Linked DNA regions of Callithrix jacchus. The protein of the gene in region 2 interacts with the protein of the main gene of each other region in a pairwise test. Links are inferred from orthologs where the notes say so. Each region holds a gene or a part of one and is shown on either strand. Other genes may lie near its edges.

Region 1 (10,573 bases), on a different chromosome or scaffold from region 2:
TATTTCTTTTAGCTCAACCGGGTGAGGACAGAGTCTTTTTTCTTCTTCTTTCTTTTTTAATGTTGTCATCCCACTGCCATCCTTATCATTATCATCATCAAAAAGCATTTATTAAGCAATTCATTTCACATGATATAGGGCTCAAAGCATCCCAGACACTAGTTCCTGTTCTCTGTGTTCTGCCTGAGCCACACAATAAGGACACAAAATTCTTGCTAGCCCTCCTCTTTTTGTGTTTCTAACATTTTTTTTTAAGTAGTGACAAGCAGAATAGTCACCCCTTCACTTAGGGTCCTTTTCCTTTTATCTTCTTTCTTGTCATCTAATAATACTCAACATTACTCTGCTACTTCCCAGGTTGACCTTTTACAAGAAGGATATACTGAGTTTTAATCATTCTCCCTCTAGCATAAATTCCCACCTGACCAGCAGGGGAGGGGGAGAGCAGTTTAGCCCAAATGCTACATAGGGCATGGGAGGCAATTTTGGGACCTTATAATGCCCCCCTGTGCTGCTGTCCCTCCCCTCAAATGTGAGCTCTGCTGGCCCTGATAATAATGTTTCAGCTCTATAATAGCCTTCAAGAGCCTCACATTTACAGCCACACTCTCCCTGCTGTAATAATTCCTTCTTTCTGTTATTATAGATCTCTTAACATTCTAATAAATTCTCTGTCTCTGTTGTACTCTTTTGGCAAAATAACCTTTCACGTTGCATTTCCTTAGCTTGGCAGAGATATCTGCCTCACTGTCACAGTAGCCTCTTCTTAAGCTTCTCTACCTTTCCTTGACTATTGTGGTTCCTCAGGGATGTAACAGCTGTTTCTGTGCTTTTATTTTACATACCAGAGAAGATGCCTTCCCTTGCCAGTTGCATCTCTCTAGGGATACAGGGAGTTTTTCTGTCTTTCAGGCAAGCAGCCCAAAGGGACCTTCCTCATTAAGGGCTACAGTGTACGGATGGCCCCCCACCTGCGAAGAGATTCCAAGAAAGAATCCTGCTTTGAACTGACCTCCCAGGATAGGCGCAGCTATGAGGTAGGACGCGCCAAGGACATGGTGATCCTCATTGGTGTTGCAGTTTCCTTCTGTATTGCATGTGAGCCATGGTTCCTATGCTGGGTTCCAGCCTTTCTTTGTTACCTGCTCATTTCATACCAACTAAGACCCTCTTTCTTGACATGTCCTCACATTTGCCTTGCCATACCCTCCCTCTGTTGCCACTCTCACCCTAGATACAGACTTTGCTTGGCTTCCATCCTTCATTCCTCCCCTTCTCGATTTCACCTCATAGGTGAGCTGCTTGTCAATTGCAGCACACAAGCCAATTCCTTACTTATAGTCTCTGATTTTATGGTTTAAAATCCCATTCTCTTTGTTTTTCACCTGATTTTCTTCACTTCCTTCCACGAAACCCAGAAAACAGAAGATCTAACTGTAGAGTAAAAAAAAAAATTATTTTCCCATGTTTATCTTGCTATCCCAAATAATCTTCCTGTGTGTGGATGCTTTGCATATCTCTGAAGGATTTCTAAGACATTGGTAACAATAGTAACAATAATAACTGAAGGACTAGAGGACCTGGTTGGGGCAAGAAAGACTTATTCCTTGCTGTGCTCAGTTTGAGTCTTTACCTCATTATAAAGTTAATTGGTTTTATTTTATTTTTGCCGTCTTCATCCTGAACGACCAACAAAATTTTTAAATTTCTGATTGTGTGGAAATATAGTGATTTTTACCAATGTATGTTCGCGTGTGTGTGTGTGTATTGTTTCCTGCTTTTTGGTAATTTTTATCTTATCATGATTTTATTAAAGCAATTTAGAAAAACTTCAGCTTATGAAAAAGAGAAAAATCATGCTAAGAGTAAATTAAACGCTTAAGTAACCCTTTTAGTCTTCATACTTTTCTCAGCATTCTTCTTTTTATTTCTACAGTATCTTAACTCTTATTTTGTTAAAGGACCTAGGTCTTCATTATGCAATTTCCAGAAATCATTTAATATTTGTACTAAAACTTTTCTATAGAGTCCTTTATGAATATATGTAATACAGATGTATGCACTGAATATGTTCCTAGTTATTTTTATTATTACATCCTGATAGTAACATATCTAGATAAAAGTTTATGTAACAAGTCTAAACCAATATTTCTAGAAATGTTTTTATAGAAATGTGTTTTTAAGAAATCAAGAATGACAATGTCTATTAAAAAGTATTATTATGCAGGAATTCAGTCTCTTTGTATGGCATATATCTTTATCTTACCCCAATGGCCAGATAATTAAAATGTTTTTCAGGAACAATTATTTCAAGTTGATTTATTTAAAATAAAAAAATTACTAAGGGCTGATGCTTGACTGGCCTATTTTGTAAATCAGAATGTAGTTTATTTACTTCTTTTCTTTGGCCTGTTAAATTCAAATCATTACCATTGTCTGTGGATTCTTCTTCTACAACATCCTATGGCTCTTCCCCTTCTTATTTATTCCCACAGCCATCACAATAGTTAAGTTCACCCAGAGGACCAGTTGGTCTTCTGTCTCCAGATTTTTGTATTTCAGTCCTTCCTACTCACAGCTATTGAAAGAATCCCCCACTCCCTTTGCTAGATTCCTGGAGTTCAGAGTTAAAATGTAGGCAACTCCTGTTGCCTACAGGAGTTGGCAATGTAGGCTAGTACCTGGAGTTCAGAGTTAAAATGTAGGCAACAGGAGTTGCCTACGTTGCCTACATTTTAACTCTGAACACCAGGTACTCAGAGTCATTTTACAAAGTCTTCTCTGACTCACAGCTCTCCAACTTCACCTGTTATTTTTCTCCAGTCAAGTTGATCTGCCAGCCTTCCCCATAAGTCATTTTATTCCTGTTCTTTTGCAATGGGTCTCCCTACCTGAAATGTCCAACTCTATCCACCAGTTTCCACAAACCCTTCTTTAAAATCCAGCCAAAATGGTATTATTACAGCAAGCCACCCTGACCTAACCTACTCTAGGCAACAATAGGTGTTCTCTGTCTCCTCTCGATATCCAGTTGATACCAAATGTGCCTCCTTTGTAGTGTTCCTATTTCATCTGTGTGGGTTGGTTTGCTTTTTTTCTTGTAAACTTTTCTCAAATAAATGCCTGATAAAGGAATAAATAATTAAATGAAAGAATGCACATGGACATGAATGTCTGGACTCAAAGAGCTGTCATCTCTGGGTATGCAAAACTGCTGAATGAAAAATCAGTTTGAGTGAATTATTTGGTCTTTTTTCTATATGTTAAGCAGACAGAGAATCCTGAACTTTAAACTTGACTCTGAAACTCACAGGCTCCTCCCACTTGGACACTGTAAAGATTCATGGAAACTTTAGTGACAATGATAAATTAATTCACTGATTTTTCTCTAGTTTACAGCTACTAGTCCAGCAGAAGCCAGAGACTGGGTGGATCAAATAAGTTTCTTGTTAAAAGGTAAGTGTCAGTTACAGAAATAATACTTGAGTTGATTTGCAGTTGAAGTTATGTTGCATAAATGTAATCTACAGGCTTATGTATTTGTTCTATCCTTTCTCACATCTGCCTTTCCTACCACATTCCTCATATTATAACAACAAATAGTACTATGTATTAATGAGAAGATAAAGATGACATCAACCTGGAGAAGACCTCTGATATCATAGCTCATCCACCTACCTGCAGGCAAGTCTGTAATATTCAAAACCACTAAAAAAGAAGATTCTAAAAATCAGCTCAGCCCAGTTCAGTGTCTCCTAACCCCTTATATTCTGGAAAGGAAATTCATAGTATCCAACTTAAAGTCATCTAGTTGTAATTGAAGTTCAAAATTACATTTTATTTTATTTTTTTTCTTATTTTAGTCTTAGGATGAAGTAGAAATCTAAACTAATCTAGATAGTCTTCAAGGACATTGTACATTAAAAACAAATTGCTATTTCCCAAGCCACAATAAGATGTTCCTTGCTTTGGGATGGGAGGATACCTGCCTGAAGACGGTAAATGACTGCTCTTAGAGTACCCTCTGCTGGCCAGCCTATAGACAAAGCAGAAACAGTGGCCCAGGAAGCCTTATCTGGGAGTGGCCTGGCAGGTAGAAGAAGCCAACTTTGAGTGTGTCACTTGGTGTTAGATAATCCTCACTTACCATCATGGCAGGACCCTACCTCTGCAGAAAGGCAGAAGCACCAACTTTATACATGGCCCAAGACCTAGAAAGAAACACGTCAGCCTAAAAGCACCAAGCCTTTTCATCTGTTTTTTATTCTGCTGTGAGATTTCATTGTGGATAAAAGAAGGAAGCACCAGAGCTTTAATTACAAAAATTGTCTGTTTTACTCAGTTATGCCTTCGCTATCACAAAAACAAACTATTGCACCTACCAACAGCGTCACGTATAATAGACTGGAACTAGGCAAACATGAACATTGATGGCGAGACTACAGGGTACATTCTCATCTAGGTGCCTTGGATTTATGCGTGTAATATACCCCTAAGTGTGTAAACCTCAATAAAACTCAAAGCAGCTTTATTGAGCTGTACCCTGTGGTACTTTCAGAATCCCACATTGAAGAAATTATTCATTCCATTATATTTTAAAACAAACAAAATAATAACATATGGTTTAAGCCACAAATGTGTTTTTGATCCTTTCCTCATATGTGGTGGCACCAAAATTCAGATGAAAATTGTTGCAAAATCTTTATTAAAAGCCTAATCAAGCCAAACAGTTTTATTACATTTTGAAATGAATGTTGGACGTCTCTCTATCCTTTCCTTCCCCAGAGTACGGTGACTGCACTCACCCATCCTGCAGAGGGCCCTCAGCAGGGTTTCAGAGAGCACTCTGTAGTACACATCAGAGAATGAACATTCCCAGTTCCCCATTAAAATAAAAAACCAATCTCCCTCCCCTGCCCTGGTGCTCCCCAGTGCTTTAATGGCTCAACACCCTCTATACAGTGACCCACTTTAAGGGCAGCTAGACTCTGCAGTTGCAAAAGGACATGGTAACTGCATTGTTCAGCTATTCCATTTGGTCTTGTATTACTGTTATATTTTTCCATACCCTGTTTCTTTTTCTCTTTCACTGTTGACCATTTTTTTCTCTGCAAACAAACATGTCTGAAATTCTGCAGTGAAATCATTGGGGAGATGAGCTTCTGACAGCTCCAACATTCTACAGAATTCCCATGGCCTATGCACCCTGGAGGACTGCAAGCCTTCACTCACCCTTCCAGTTTTCTACTTGATGAGTTGTGTGTAGCACACTGGCTTTTCCTCTTCTGGCCTATTTTCTTCCCTTCACCTCGTGTTCTCATTTACACACCCATACTTTTCAGGGCTGCTTCACCCTGATCAAGTTTTATTGCAAGGAAAGATTTATGCTGATGGTTTAAACCTGATGCAGTGCTAGTCTGGCCTTTTCTGTAGATTTCCTGCCACCAAAGCTCACATTAGAAATAACAGCATTTAACCTGGTGTTTCATTTTCTTTTGACATGTTTTACTCTGATCCCTCTTCCTCCTTCTCCCTCTTCCCTCCCATCTTATTATTTCATTTTTCTCTGTTTCTTGATTCATTCTCATCTTTGCCCTTGCAGATCTGAGCTCCTTAACCATTCCATGTGAAGAGGAGGAGGATGAAGAAGAAAAAGAAGAGACATATGATGATATTGATGGTTTTGACTCCCCAAATTCTGGTTCCCAGTGCAGACCCACTATCTTGCCTGGTAGTGTGGGGATAAAGGAGCCTACAGAGGAGAAAGAAGAAGAAGATATTTATGAAGTCTTGCCAGGTGAGAAATTTTGTGCTCCGATTATCTTCTGCTAGTTTCAGAAATTCATGACCTGATTAAAGAATAATAACTTTGAAAATTCCAAAAGAAGTCAAATCTAACCTTCATCCTCTGAAGGAGATAGTGTGGGAAGCTTTATGAGATTGTAGGGAAAACAATAATGAAGCTCTGCCTTGCTCTAGGAGCAAGAAGAAATTGATTATGGAGTGTCTTCTATCCATGCCATGTGAAGTAACTTAGTACATGTCCACCAGATTAAATAGTCAAGAGCATCTACATTGGTTTTTATTGGTTTACTGTGAGTTTTGGGATGAGTCATCAAAATTCTCAAGTTTCAACTTTTTGGCGTGTAGTTGTGAAAATAATGGAAAATTGCTTCAAAATTATGAAGGATTTCAAAAATCTGAAACATGTTGTAAATGCTGACAAACATTTTTAGTAATACCTTGATAGAGCAAACCTTCATAATAAACCTTGATAGAGAACAACGCATTATTACCTAGTTCAGCTATACCATGAATCAAATCACAACTCTTTTTTTTTTTTCCATGCGTCGTGTCCACATGATCAGCATCACACCTGTGGACAGGATTATCACTACTTTTAAAAAGAAGCCTAACATGTTTTATCTGCTCATCATTACAACATATCTACTCTCTCTATATTTCCTTTTTTCCAAAGGCATGAAAACTATCATCTTAAAAACTATATAGTCATCACTGCTTCTGCATAGCCACTTCTAGTGGGGATAACAACAGCTGGTGAACAGTGCAGAGCTCAGTGGGGGTCAGATGGAGGAGAACCAAAGCCTGAGCTTTTAATTGTGAGGTAGTTAGACCACAGAACGCTAATCTTCAAGTCCATTCAGAAAGATGGTTCCTATGGAAATTTGCCAGGAGTTCAGTGCTCTGCTGAGAAATTCAAGTTAAGCTTAAATTTATAGCAATTTAAGCCTCAATCCCAGATGAACCTAGGAACTAAGGTGAATCTAACACTCAAGCCCCTGAAGATAGGGCTGGTTGCTAAAAGCATCAACAGTAAGCAACTTGCATTTCAAGGCTTCCTAAGAAGAGCATCCAACCCTCTCCACTCTGCATTTATCTCTTCCTGGGGAAGAAGCTACGTCATTGCTTCCTGAGTTAAGGGGCAGGACTTTGGCCACATTTCCCCACCCTGCTGGGGACTTTACCCACCCACCAAGGAGAGCCTGCTTCTTCTCCTAGCACTTCCAGTCTCGACTTCTCCAGCCTTTTTGTTGTGTTTTATTATGCAAATGATATCTTGGTTGAGGTCGAGCCATTTCTTGTGTCTGACGTTAAAAAAAATGATAATTTCCTCAGCAAGTCATCGTCGTTAATGAAGTTTTACAAAAACAGATACAACCAAAGGAAAATAAAATTTCACAGGTGATAAATTTTTCCAATTTCCCTGGCAGAATTCGATAGGATTGTTAAATTAAGAGTGAAGGTGTCTGTTAGAAAGCAACGAGCAGTGATGGGTAATTTTATAGAGTGGAAAATTGAATCAAATTGCTACATTAAAACACAGCTCCTCTGAGAATCTTCCCTTTCACAGTCAGCTCCATTGCAACAGCAGGGTGCAGAAATGGATCTAATTCACAACACTCCCTAAAAGGAGATGCACTCCCCAACTTGGCCAGAATCTTCCTAGTGAGCTCATATTCTGCTCACTCTTGCCCAGGCTTGGGGAAATATCCGGATGACAGTCCACTTTGGGTGACAACTGTGGAAGAGTGCTCTGGGAATGCCTCAGTGAACCTTCTGGGGTAGAAAGAAAGGAAAGAAACATGTACCATGTTTTGTTTTCAAAAGAGCCAGGGAGGAGGGGGCTGATGCTCAGAGATACAGAGCAAAGGAGAATAAAGAGAAAGAGACCTCAAAAAATTAGATGAGTTTGGGACTGTCACCTTATCCCAGGAGTGGGAAGTGAAGGTATGATTGGCTACCTAATGACCGTCTTTCTCTTGCCTCCTAAACTTTTCCCCTTGGCCATTGCAGCACTGCCCAGAGTATTAGGGCATTTTTCCAAAATTCCTACCAGCTGGTATGTTGGAGTCGCTCCAATGGCATGAAGACTGGTCTGAGGGTACACTTACCCTGTATCCACAACAGCTGTCCATTGGAAGTGAGGAAAGCCACACAGTAGGAAATCCAGGGTCTCTTTCTGCAGGTTAAGGAAACAGCAGCTAAGCACCCTTTTAGTTTCCAAAGAACAGCACTGTACCCAGCCAACAGGTTCTTTCCCATAAGCCTCTATCCATCACAGTTCTTAGAGACAGAGTTGGAGGTGGGATATATTGGCATTTAATTATGATATGAATATTTCAGCAACCAGTCACTATCACTCAACTTCCTGTCCACTCCACTCAGCTGTTGCTTCTGAACTTACTGTTTGAATTTTGCATGTGCCACACCATCAGTCCTGGAGAAACTGAGAAGGGAAAGTGAGGGGGCCTAACACTGTCTCCTTTCTGCTGCCCTCTTACAAGACCACCTGCCAACCAGCAGCACATGAGACAGCATAGTATCATAGGTACAGATACTGGCTCTTAAGTCTGGATGGATCTGCCCTGCCACCTGCTAGCTGTGAGACCTTGAGCAAGTTACTTGCCCTCTCTGCCTGTTTGTACTACCTGTAAAATGGGGAAAACAATAGTAGTTGTCTTAGAGGGATGTGGTAAGGAGTCTAGAACTGACATGTGTAAAGTTCTTAGCACAGAGCCCTGACATACAATGGCATACAGTGAGTACTCAGTAAATGCTGGCTATTATTAATGTGATGGTGTTTAAACAAGAAGTGTTATCTCCTTGAAGAACTGGGGTGGTTAGGTCCCCGCCCTCTCAAACCAGACCCAAGACAGTCCAGTTGGATATTTCCAGCTATGTGTATGGAGCAGGTGAAATTGAAAATCCTGAGCAGATGGAATGTGGAGTGCACCTTCTGCCCAGGCCCATTTTTACTGCGAGGCCAGGTGCTGCGTGGAAGGATGGCCTACAGTAACGTTGGATTGTGCTAACACTGCATACCCATCAAGAGTCAAATATGTGGGCCTCTAACATTTGTTTCATTATAACAAGTAAATATGCTTTGTGGAGGATATTTAACATTGACAGTTCTGCTAATCCTCCCTTTTCCCTCACTGTCTCTATGGGGAAAGCCATGTTAGTGAGACCTCCCTTCCAGAGTATAATTTAGACGGGCTTCCTAATAGGGAGAAAAATGTGTGAAACAAATACCAAGTCAATAAAAAATGTTTTCCGTAATCAAAATAATGTATAGGTCATCACATTAAACTCACTCCATCACATTAATCATGGAATAATTAGCATTTGCTACGTGGCTAGCACTCTTCTCCCCATGAGGGAACACCAGAGCACTCAAGGTTTTCAGCCAGACCATGAAAATGTTAGTGCTGGAAAATATGGTTTCAAGGTTGGTATCTGGTGGGATTTCTGAACATCCGTGTTGAGCATATGGGGGCTGATTTTTTTAGGCTCTCATTTGCAATAGATTAAACTGCAGGGAACTACCACAAAGAAATGCTAAAGCAATATGTAGAAAATAGGAGGCCTTTCTGAGCCCTCTCTCACCACCACCACCACTCTCACAGTTATTTTACAGGCCAGCATAGGCCCAGCTTCATGATTCAAGATTCCATAAAAGGACAGCTTTTATCAAATTTTGTCTGGTGTCTCAAGGCTGGGATCCAGCAAGGCGCCTGAGACCATTGAAGTGGTATAACTGGGGCCTTGTAGCAGCTGCAGTGGCAACAGAATCCGGCTGTGTTCTCTAGAGAGATTTCAGAAGAGCAAATGGAAAGAGAGATGAAGAGCTTTCTTTGGGAATTTCTGTGCACATTCCAATGCTGCCCACACTGCCCCAGGGTGTTATTATAGACCTAGAAACCAGATTGCTTTATAATAAAGCATATAACTGAGTTTTTTTAAATTTTGAGTCAAATGGAAACAAGCATTCTGTGGAATTATTTTTCCCCCTGTACGGTTGTTCAGACCCACAGGAAGGGGTAACAGTGAAGGTAAGAAGTCTAAAGAAATTTAAAAAAATGAAGATGAAAAATACAAAGTTTATAAAGAAAGAGCATCAGTGAAGAGTCAACACCATTATCAGGCCTCCTCTGAACTTCTGGCCTTTTATCTTTCTTACTCCCATACCACTGAGCCCCAGCCACACAGTCCTGCTTGGCCAGCGCCAAAACGGGAATCATGTTGTTTCTTCTACGTAGACTACCCTTCTGATCTCAGCCTGTGAAATCGTACACATTCTGGTCAACTGTCTCCCCAGTGACACCTTCCCAGATACTCAACTGGAATTAAGCTTTGTTTTCACCCTCACCACAGTGATTTGTATTCAGGTCTTTCTCCCCAATTAGTAGATGCTTAGGTATTATTTGTGAGATGAAATTCAGTGCATTCCAAGTGTTGCAGTTAGCACAAATTGAGTTTAATATCTTATACATCAAGCCCATATCACTGAAATAGGATGCAAATATTTTGAGGTATCAGTTGAGATTACCAAATACACAACAAAGAATTAAATGTGTTATTAGCATCTCGCTTTTTCCATGTGGTCTGATGAAGTGCGGTAACATCCGTGGATTTATAACATATCTGTGCATGTTGGGGAGCAGTTTATTTTTACTTTTCTGCACGTCCCCTTTGCACCTTGAGTCTGTCTGTATTTCTGTTGCATCTGTCACCAGAGCACCTTGATGTCTGGTTGTACATTGATACAGTT
Region 2 (10,673 bases):
CATCATTTTACTGAGCAGCCAGTGGATGCCAGCCTATGGCTTCAGTGTTGAGCCCGGCCAATCCAGCCCCTGCACTGTGGCAGATCAGTCTCTTGTGGGAGGCAGAGAGTACAGGCCCTAGCATCATATTTGCTTCTCTGGGGCAGAGCCCTGGGGTCAGGGACAGCACTAGTGAGGAAGGGACCAGTGACCCCCGTTCTGTGCGTCCTGCAGGGAAGCAAATCCCCTGCTCCAGCCCTGGCTGCTGCCTCAGTTTCCCCAGCATCCGTGACCTGGCACAGCATCTGCGAACCCACTGCCCGCCCACACAGTCCCTGGAAGGTAGGGCCAGGGCCGGTCATGGGGAGGCAGGTTAGGGTGGGAAACAGGCGGAGCCCTTCGGAGCCAGCCTTGGCCACCTCTCTCCACTCCTCTGTCCTTCATCCCTACCAGGCAAGCTCTTCCGCTGCTCGGCCCTGAGCTGCACCGAGACCTTCCCTAGCATGCAGGAGCTGATGACTCACAGCAAACTGCATTACAAGCCCAATCGCTACTTCAAGTGAGACCCTGACCTCTTGAGCTCCGCCCTGCCCTAGCCTCACCCTGTGTGTGGGTTCCAGGCCTGTCTCCTTTCCTGGTCAGGATGTTGGAGGGCGGGACTTGATGTGGGCAAGGCTTTGGACAAGTCCCGCCCTTGCCTCCCTGGATGGGCGGGGCATACGTGGGCGTGGCTCCACCTAACCCGGCTTTATTTCCCAAGTGGAAAACCGGCCACCTAACTTAAAATTGAGACTTCTTTCTAGGTTTCCCCAGGGTTCCCACCTGAAGTGGTCAGGAAGGGTCGCTGCCACAGTTGTCCGGGAGCTGGGAGGCAACTGGGGCCCAGGCTCCGTTCCCACGCTCGCAGGGCGGGTGGCATGGCACAGGCCCCAATCCCTGGTCGTCCTGGAGGCCCAGCCCGGCCCTCTGCCCGCCCCCAGGTGTGAGAACTGCCTCCTGCGCTTCCGCACGCACCGCTCGCTCTTCAAGCACCTGCATGTTTGCGCAGAGCATGCGCAGAGTCCAGCCCCGCCGCCACCCCCGGCCTTGGACCGGGAGCCACCCGCGCCCGAGCGCCCCCCAGAGGCCGACCCCGCGTCAGCGCCGGGCCTGCAGTTCCCGCTGCTCGAGCCTTTCACGACCCCTGCCCCTGCCCCCTCCGGGCCCTTCCTGCCTTACTTGAACCCTGCGCCCTTTGGCCTAAGCCCCCCGCGCCTGCGGCCCTTCCTGGCCGCGGCGCCCGGGCCGCCGGCTTCTAGCGCCGCCATCTGGAAAAAGAGCCAAGGTGAGTGTGGAGCGGGGCCTCCAGGAGGGCGGGCTGGGCTCGCCCTGACTCTGAACTTGACCCTCCCCTTTACCGCAGGTGCTGGCAGCAGCCCTCGAAGACCCCAGGGCGGCTCCGACGCGCCCTCAGGTGCGTGCAGGTGACCACCAGGGAGGGGTGGAAGGGCTTTCTTTCCTGCGCCCTGCGGGGTGAGGTGGATACCGGGAGGCAGCAGTGCCCATCCCCTTCCCAGGGGTACAGAAATGCCACCGTCCCGAAATACAGGATTTTTGCCTTAAATATGACTGGCACCTGCGCCTTCATCTGCGCCGGCGTTCCCGTGTAAACCTCGTGCCCCGTTCACCGTTCACCTCGAAGCGGGCTTCTCCCCGGCGGTGGATCCGGGAATGGGAATAGGGGACGCGGAGAAGCGAAGTTGGGTTTCCCCAACTCTAGGGGCAGACAGACCCCGGAGAGACGGATCCAGGCGCCTGGAAGCTGATGGGGGCGGGGAAAGGTCCCACCCACCCTTGCCCGTGTCCTCCATCCTTGGCGTACGGGTCCTCTGGGTTGGGGACTGACAGGGTCCCACCTGCCTGCAGGGCACGCGGCCCCGAGCCGCATCGTGTGGGAGCACACGCGCGGCCGCTACTCGTGCATGCAGTGCGCCTTCTCCACGGCCTCGCGGCCCGCCATGACCCTGCACCTGGAGGACCACCGCCCCGGCACCCCCGCGGCCCCCGCGCCCGGGCCGCCACGCCCCGACGCCCCGGCGGCGGGTAAGGCCGAGGAATGCTTGGGTGGAGACGGGGGCAGGGGCCCAAGGCGCTGAGGCTCAGCCTCCCCACTCCTCTGCCCACCCAGATCCAGCCCCACTTGCACCCAAGGTGTCGCCGTTGCTGTCAGAGGGGGAGCTTCCAGTGTTCTCGCAGCTCTGAATCCCAACACTTTGGGGTTGGGCCATGGGGTGTGGGTAGTTTTGTCGTTAGGAGGGGGCTGCAGGGAAGGGGGGTTGAGGTGGACAATAAAGAAGGCACCATGAGCCAGCCTGTGCTGTGTCCCCGTCCCTTACCCCTCCGAAACGCAGTGGGCCACAGCCCAGCAGTCATGGAGAGATCATGTTTCATGAGGACCACCTGGATCCGCAGGTCCAAGCCTCACACCCCACCTGTGTGCTGTCTCCCTATCACCCCAATACTGGGGCCCAGGTCCCCACTTCCAGCTGTAGTTGAGGTCTCCAGGACCCAATGTCCTGTTCTCCCTTGTCCAGAAACCAAACGGGATGGGACTCTCCGGTTTTAAGAAGTCCTGGCTGGGCACACTGGCTCACACCTGTAATCCCAGCACTTTGGGAGGCAGAGGCAGGTGGAGCACCTGAGGTCAGGAATTTGAGACCAACCTGACTAACATGGTGAAACCCCATCTCTACTAAATACAAAGAATTAGCTAGGCATGGTGGCTGGCACCTGTAATCCCAGCTCAGGTGAGCCTCGGATTCCCAAAGTGCTGAGATTACAGGCATGAGCCACCGCACCTGGCTTCCTTGGACTTTCCATCCCCCAACGTGTCCACCTCAGGCTCTGAGTCGAAGCCATCCAGGTACAGAAGCCCAGGGCCACATCACCTCAAAGATGGACAGCTCTGGGCTCTAGAGGCCCTTCAGCTACTTCAAGGGACAGGAGGGGATCCTCAGGCCCTTAGAACCGATCTGTCTGCCCCACTGCCCACAGCCTCACCGGGGACCTGAAGACTGCCCTGTCCTTGATGGGGCTGCAGCCTCAGCTCACATGGCTTGGGTTGGGTGTCCACCCTCCCAGCACCCCTGGGCCCCAGCTGAGGTGGTTGTCACTCAGGATGGGGCGGGACATGCCATTGGGAGGCCCCAGTGCTCCAAGGCCACCTAAGCTCCCCCTTAGTCAGAAGCCTTGAAACTACAACTGTGGGACCCTGGAGAAGACTTGACCCCCCTGCCTTCCAATTCCCTCATCCTTAAGGGTGTCATGATGACGAGTGAGCCCTTTGGTGTGGATAGGAGGATGAAAAGCTGACCTTGGGGAGAGGCTTGGGAAATGTCTGCTGAGTACTTCGCATTCCTCTGGTCACCGAGCCCATGGCTGCCTGGGACCCTCTCTACCTGGGGAGGAGGATAGGACTGAGTCAAGGGCCCCCCCCCCTTTTTTTTTTCTTTTTTAGTAGACCGGATCTCACTCTTGCCCAGGCAGGGCTCACTACAACCTCCACCTTCCTGGTTCAAGCGATTATCCTTAGCCTCCCAAGTAGCTGGGACTACAGGCACCCACCACCACTCCTGGCTAATTTTTGTAAATTTAGTAGAGACGGGGTTTCACCATGTTGGCCAGGCTGGTCTCGAACTCCTGACCTTGCGATTCACCCACCTCGGTCTCCCAAAGTTCTAGGATTACAGGCATGAGCCACCATGCCTGGCCCAAAGGGCCCATTTTACTGGTAGAGAAAGTAAGGCTAGGAGGTTCCTAGCCAGCCCCAGTTCCAAGTCAGAGGCACTGATTCTGCACAATCTTGGGAGAAGGGCACAGTTACCATGGGATGAAAAAACCCTGGCAGCAGGTCCAGAGGACACTCCCCTGTTCCCATGCTCTGAAGTTCCCTAGATCTGGCTGTAGTGCAAGCCCCCTCTCCATCTCCAGGGACAGCACTGTGTTCTCTGTCCCCCAGGCCCCTAACCCCTGTCAGGGGCCTGGGGGCCCCCAGGAGTCTTCATTCCCCATCAATTTCCTCATTCGGCCACCCCCAGAACTAAGCCATGCTACTTCCCAGTCTCTGTCACCATCTGTCCAGAGAGATCCAGAGTCAACAAGCACCTCGGTCCAGGGACCTCTCCTCGACCCCATCACCCACGGAGATTGGGCAGCCCTTCCTGTGTGTACAGCGGGTCCACGGCCACCACTCTGCCCTCTGGGGTAAACTGACTCTGCCCCAAGGCCTGGGAAACTAGGTCACCACCTGGCATCTGCCATTCACCTTGTCCACTCCAGAAACTATCTCCCACCCTCAAGCCGGTCCCCAACCCCTATGCGCTGGAGGCCAGTCCTATTGGGCCCCGGCTCCGCCCAGCAAGGGGCGCCCAGGAGAGCCGGGAGTGCAGCGCCGATCGTGGTCCGGTTGGCAGGAAGCCGCCAGCTGGCGCCAAACAGCTCTGAGGCCGGCCAGAGTCCTGTGCACCGCCCGGCATTTGTCCAGCCCCAGCTGTCACCTGCAGGTGCTAGTCCACTCTCGCTCACCGCGGACCGGGAGCCGGAAGATGGAGCACACCCCGCGGCCCTGGCATCCGCCGCCCACGTGCTCCCATCCGCCACCTTGAGCACCCATGTTCCCATTCCCAACCCCGCAAAGTGCCCGAGCCGCGCCCTAACGAACTCCCACTTCCCCCTGGTCCGCGCTGGCTTCTCCGGGATTCCGGAGCTGTCGGTCCCTGTCTGCAGCCGCGCCGCGAGGACCCTTGCCAGGAGCTCCCACGGAGGCGCCAAATACGCAAGCAAGACTGGGGGGAACTCATACCATGACGACCACGCCGGGACCTGCACGTCACCCCCACAGCGCCCCCGCGGGGTCTTGGTGCGAGCGCCCTGGCTGGACCCTCGTAGCTACCAGAGTGCACGGGTAGCGACCGGCGCAGGCACCTGGGGATTCATCAGCTGTCATCCAATCCTTCAATTACCTTGACTGAGCGTCTACTGTATACTCATAGCCAAGAATTGCTTGTTTTTCTTTTCATTATTATTATTTAAAAAAAAAATTTTTTTTTAAGATGGGGTTTCACCATATTGGTCAGGCTGATCTCGAACTCCTGACCTCAGGTAATCCACCCACCTCAGCCTCCCAAAGTGCTGGGATTACAGGCGTGAGCCACTGCGCCCGGCTTTTTTTTTTTTTTTTTTTTAGACGGTGTCTGGCTGTGTCACTCAGGCTGGAGTGCAATGGTGCAATCTCTGCTCACAGCAACCTCCGCCTCCCCGGTTCAAGCGGTTCTCCTGCTTCCCCCTCCCAAGTAGCTGGGATTACAGGCGCACACCATCACGCCCAGTTAATTTTTGTATTTTTAGTAGAGACGAGGTTTCACCATGTCGGCCAGCTGGTAGCAAACTCGTGACCTCAAGTGATCCGCCCGCCTTGGCCTCCCAAAGTGCTGGGATTACAGGCATGAGCCACCATGTTCCCCCTGGCTGACCTTTCTTGAATTTATTTAACTAAATGAGAAGGACCCAGATGGAGCTGGGAGGGAGACTCATTTGTTTTGAGGACTTTGCTCTTCCGCAGGCCCTTCCTGCATCTGCTCTGCTGCAGTGGGATACATGACACGATGAGAAGTGCTCTGCCCATTTGTTTTCAAGCCTCCGTTAAGAGCACAGGCGTCAGGATTCTGCCAAGATGGCGCCATTGCATTCCATCCTGGTGACAGAGCGAGACTCCATCTCAAAGAAAAAGAAAACGACCAGGCTGGGTGACTGGGTGCAGTGGCTCGTTCCTGTAATTCCAGCACTTTGGGAGGCCAAGGCTGTGGATCACCTGATGTCAGGAGTTCAAGACCAGCCTGACCAATATGGTGAAACCCCATCTCTACTAAAAATACAAAAATTGGCTGGGCGTGGTGGCAGGTGCCTGTAATCCCAGCTACTCAAGAGGTTGAGGCAGAAGAATCGTTTGAACCCGGGAGGTGGAGGTTGCAGTGAGCGAAGATTGCACCACTGCAATCCAGCCTGGGTGACAGAGCAAGACTCTATCAAAAAAGAAGAGAGAAAGAAAGGGAGGGAGAGGAGAGGGGAGGAGAAGAGAGGAGAGGAGGAGAAGAGAAGGAAAGGAAAGAAAGCAAGTTCAACCACTTCGTTTCCGAGTCTTTTTTTTTTTTTTTTTTTTAAGAGACAGGGTCTCATTCTGTTGTCCAAGCTGGAGGGCAGTTGTCACAATCATACACTCACTGCAGCGTTCTAATTCCCAGGCTCAATTGATCCTACTACCTCAGCCTCCCTAGTAGCTGGGACTACAGGCACACACCATCCCACCCAGCTCGTGTGTGTGTGTGTGTGTGTGTGTGTGCTAGAAACAGAAGCTCACTATGTTGCCCAGGCTGGTCTGGAATTCCTGGGCTCAAGCGATCACCCATCTTGGCCTCCCAAAATGCCAGGATTACAGTTGTGAGCCACCTTGCCCAGCCTTCTCTTCATTATTCCTGCTCCAAGTGTGGTCCACAGAAGGACAGCATTGGCATCACCTGGGACCTGACTCATCACTTGGGTCAGAACCTGCACATTAACAGCAGCTCGGAGTGACTCAGGGGAACCGGGGATTCTCACCTTAGCTGTGTATGAGAATCACCAGCCTTTTTTTTTTTTTTTTGAGACGGAGTTTCACTCTTGTTACCCAGGCTGGAGTGCAATGGTGCAATCTCGCCTCACCGCAACCTCCGCCTCCTGGGTTCAGGCAATTCTCCTGCCTCAGCCTCCCTAGTAGCTGGGATTACAGGCACATGCAGCCATGCCTAGCTAAGTTTTTGTATTTTTAGTAGAGACGGGGTTTCACCATGTTGACCAGGATGGTCTCAATCTCTTGACCTCATGATCCACCCGCCTTGGCCTCCCAAAGTGCTGGGATTACAGGCTTGAGCCATCGCGCCCGGCCCGCCTTTTTTTTTTTTTTTTTTTTTTTTTTTTAGATGGAGTCTCTCTGTCACCAGATCGGAGTGCAGTGGCGCGATCTCGGATCACTGCAACCTCTGCCTCCCGGGTTCAGCCGATTCTCCTGCCTCAGCCTCCGGAGTAGCTGGGATTACAGGCACCCAGCATCACGCCTGGCTAAATTCTACATTTTTAGTGGAGACGTGGTTTCACCATGTTGGCCAGGCTGATCTCAACCTTCTGGCCTCAAGGGATCTGCCCACCTCGACCTCCCAAAGTGTTAGGATGACAGGCTTGAGCCACTGCGCCCGGCCTTCCATCTCTTTTCTGATTCTTCCTTAGCTCCAAAATTTCTAGGGTTCGGCTGCATTCACTCCTCTGTAGTCGACAGACACCCACTGGGACAACTCCCAAATTCATCATTCCAGTCCAAACCCTAGGGCCCAGTGCCTTCCCGGCGTCTACCACAAGGGGGCGACACACAACTCCCGCGTTCATCATTCCAGTCCAAACCCTAGGGCCCGGTGCCTTCCCGGCGTCTACCACAAGGGGGCGACACACAACTCCCAAATTCATTCCAGTCCAAACCCCAGGGTCCAGTGCCTTCCCGGTCTCTACCACCAGGGGCACAACTCCCAAATTGACAGAATGTGTGTGATTTGGGGGATGCTGTGCCTGATTTGGGGGATGTAGATCATTGATGTTACCAGCCATCGTCACACCATGTCAGTGTGGGGTAAGCTCAGAGGAAAACTGAGGCTTGAGAAGGACAGTGGCTTCCCTAAAGACACCTGACTAAAGACACAGGTATTGTTTCCAAGGACGTGGTATTGGAACCTGGGTCCATTCAACAGCCAAGAACAGGTTCTTGGTCTTGGCTGGACACGGTGGCTCATGCCTGTAATCCTAGCACTTTGTGAGGCTGATGTGGGTGGATCACTTGAGGTCAGAAGTTCAAGACCAGCCTGGCCAATATCGTGAAAGCCCATCTCTACTAAAAATACAAAATGTTAGCTGGGTGTGTTGGTTCATGCCTGTAATCCCAGCTACCTGGTAGGCCAAGGCATGAGAATCGCTTAATCCTTGGGGGCAGAGGTTTCAGTGAGCCAAGATTGCACCGCTTCACTCCACCTGGGCAAATAGAGTGAGACTCGGGCTCAGAAAAAAAAAAAAAAAAAAAAAAAACAGGTTCCTGCATCTATGTAAACACATAGGAGGCTGGGCTGGTGCTGAGAAGGATTTTTTTGTTTCGGTTTTTGAGACAGGGACTCACTCTGTCCCCCAGGCTGGAGTGCAGTGGCGCGGTCATGGCTCACTGCAGCCTTGACCTCCTGGGCTCAAGTGAGCCTCCTGTCTTGGCCTCCCATGTAGCTGAGATTATAGGCACATGCCACCATGCCTGGCTAATTTTTAAGTATTTCATAGACACAGGGTCTTGCTGTGTTGCCCACGCTGGTCTCTAACTCCTGGGCTCAGGCAATCTTCCTGCCTCGGCCTCCCACAGTGTGGTATTACAGGCTTGAGCCACGATGCCTGTCCAACATTTTGGAAGCTCACTTCGCTGAAGGTCATGCTGGTGGTGGCGTTAAAAGTGATCTGTGGGTGGGACTCTCATACTTGTGTACAGGTGAGAAGGCATTCCTGGGCCTTCTTGGATAGCTGACCTTAGAACTTCCTTTCTTTTTAAGATCAAGTCTCATTCTGTTGCCCAGGCTGGAGTGCAGTGGTGTGATCTCGGCTCACTGCAATCTCTGCCTCCCGGGTTCAAGCGATTCTCCTGCCTCAGCCTCCTGAGTAGCTGGAATTACAGGTGCTCATCACCACACCCAGTTAATCTTTTGTATTTTTAGTAAAGACGGGGTTTTGCCCTGTCGGCCAGGCTGGTCTTGAACTCCCAACCTCAGATGATCCTCCACCTCGGCCTCCCAAAGTGTTAGGATTACAGGCGTGAGCCACCTTACCCAACAGCCAGTTCTGTCTTTCAAAAAAATTGTTCAGGCGATTCCAGCATGTGCTCAAACGGAAAACCAGGGCTCTCTACTCTCTTAGCAAGACTTTTGTCCCTTCGTCTACTGTGACCGAGATCACCCATCTCCTGTGGGCTGAGCCCTGTGGTCATGGCTTGCCCTTACCTGGCCAGGCTGCCGCACCATGACCGACTACACTGACCCTCTCCTGGCCCCTGTCTCTGTCTCCTGGTTCCTCTTCTCTCTGCTACTTCTAATGTAACCTCTGGGAATCTGGGGTATCTTCATGTCCTCAGACCCCCTCAGTCCTTCAAGACTACAAGGCCTCTTTTTTTTTTTTTTTTTTTTTTTGAGATGGAGTTTCACTCTGTCACCCAGCATGGAGTGCAGTGGTGTGATCTTGACTCACTGCAACCTCCACCTCCCAAGTTCAAGCGATTCTCCCCCTCAGCCTCCCAAGTAGCTGGGATCACAGGTGTGCGACATCACACCTGGCTAATTTTTGTATTTTTAGTAGAGACAGTGTTTCACCATGTTGTCCAGGCTGGTCTCGATCTCCTGACCTTAGGTAATCTGCCCTCCTTGGCCTCCCAAAGTGCTGGGATTACAGGTGTGAGACACTGTGCCCAGGCTTTTTTTGTTTTTTTTTAGTGTGGCTCTCGATTGATTGATTGAGATTGAAATAGAGTCTATCTCTGTCACCAGTGCAGTGGTGTGATCATAGCTGACTCCAGCCTCTGCCTTGTGGTCTCAAGCAATCCTCCCGCCTCAGCCTCCCAAGCAGCTGGGACCACAGGTGGGCATCATCACACCTGGCTAATTTTTTATATTTTTTGTAGAGCTGGAGTCTTGCTATGTTGCCCAGGCTGGTCTCAAACTCCCATGCTCAAGTGATTGTCCTGCCTCAGCCTCCCAAAGTGTTGGGATTACAGGTGTGAACCACCATGCCCGGCCTAGATGCACGGCCTTTGACACCATTCACCCATTGAGCCCCTAAGTCTGCCATGCCAGCTGAGCTCTCTGCCCAGGGTGGCAGCCTGAGGCTTCCATGGCCTGTGTGATATCTCCCCCAGAACAAGTGAGTCCTGCTCAAAGCCGAAAGTCGGATTTCAGGAAAGTGTTGAAATAAGGAAAGCGATGGGCCAACCAGGGCAGGGGCAGACAGCAGGAGCCTCACCGGTCACATGGGCCCCCACGTTCTGTGTCTCTGGGGCTTCCCAGGAGCCTCATAAACCCCAGAGCTGTCCATACCCCTGACCTGCTGAGATTTCCCCATCCCGTGGCTCTCCAGCCCAGGAGGTCACCAGGGCCTGGCAGAGTACTACCTGGAGTCCAGAGATGGGGCCACCAAGGCCGTGGGACTGAGGGGAACTACAGACAGTAAGAAACTTGTGACCATGTTGGGAATATGTGGGTGACCAACACCCCAAGCTTGGGGACAGTAGCAGGCAGGACAGGAATTCAAGGGAAATAGAAGTGCCTGGCAGGGGCCAGGTGCGGTGGCTCACGCCTGTCCTCCCAGCACTTTGGGAGGCCGAGGTGGACAGATCATTTGAGGTCAAGAGTTCAAGACCAGCCTGGCCAACATGGTGAAACCCATCTCTACTAATAATACAAAAAGTAGTCAGGTATGGTGGTGCATGCCTGTAATCTCAACTACTCAGGAGGCTGGTGCAAGAGAATTGCTGTTGAGAAATGCTGAGTGGATGATAAAATCTATTGTTTGCTAAGAATGATGGCAAGGAAACCCTGGCTGCCCCCACCCCCAAGGGG

Evidence for each region.
Region 1: the proteins of PRAM1 (region 2) and SKAP1 interact in binary tests that used the Homo sapiens proteins (3 or more experiments, as listed by UniProt). The two-hybrid records come from large-scale screens. The link is inferred for Callithrix jacchus from reciprocal best matches to the Homo sapiens genes PRAM1 and SKAP1.

What each region holds. Positions count from the first base shown.
Region 1 is NC_133506.1:118,101,955-118,112,527, forward strand, and holds part of SKAP1 (src kinase-associated phosphoprotein 1), read left to right. Parts: intron 1-912; coding exon 913-1,037; intron 1,038-3,392; coding exon 3,393-3,456; intron 3,457-5,602; coding exon 5,603-5,797; intron 5,798-10,573. UniProt on the Homo sapiens protein: Positively regulates T-cell receptor signaling by enhancing the MAP kinase pathway. Required for optimal conjugation between T-cells and antigen-presenting cells by promoting the clustering of integrin ITGAL on the surface of T-cells.
Region 2 is NC_133523.1:8,020,262-8,030,934, reverse strand, and holds the start of PRAM1 (PML-RARA-regulated adapter molecule 1), read left to right. Parts: upstream 1-4,333; coding exon 4,334-4,921; intron 4,922-10,673. Other genes in the region: ZNF414 (zinc finger protein 414), read left to right, coding at 214-321, 433-538, 960-1,303, 1,382-1,432, 1,885-2,061, 2,147-2,220. UniProt on the Homo sapiens protein: May be involved in myeloid differentiation. May be involved in integrin signaling in neutrophils. Binds to PtdIns(4)P.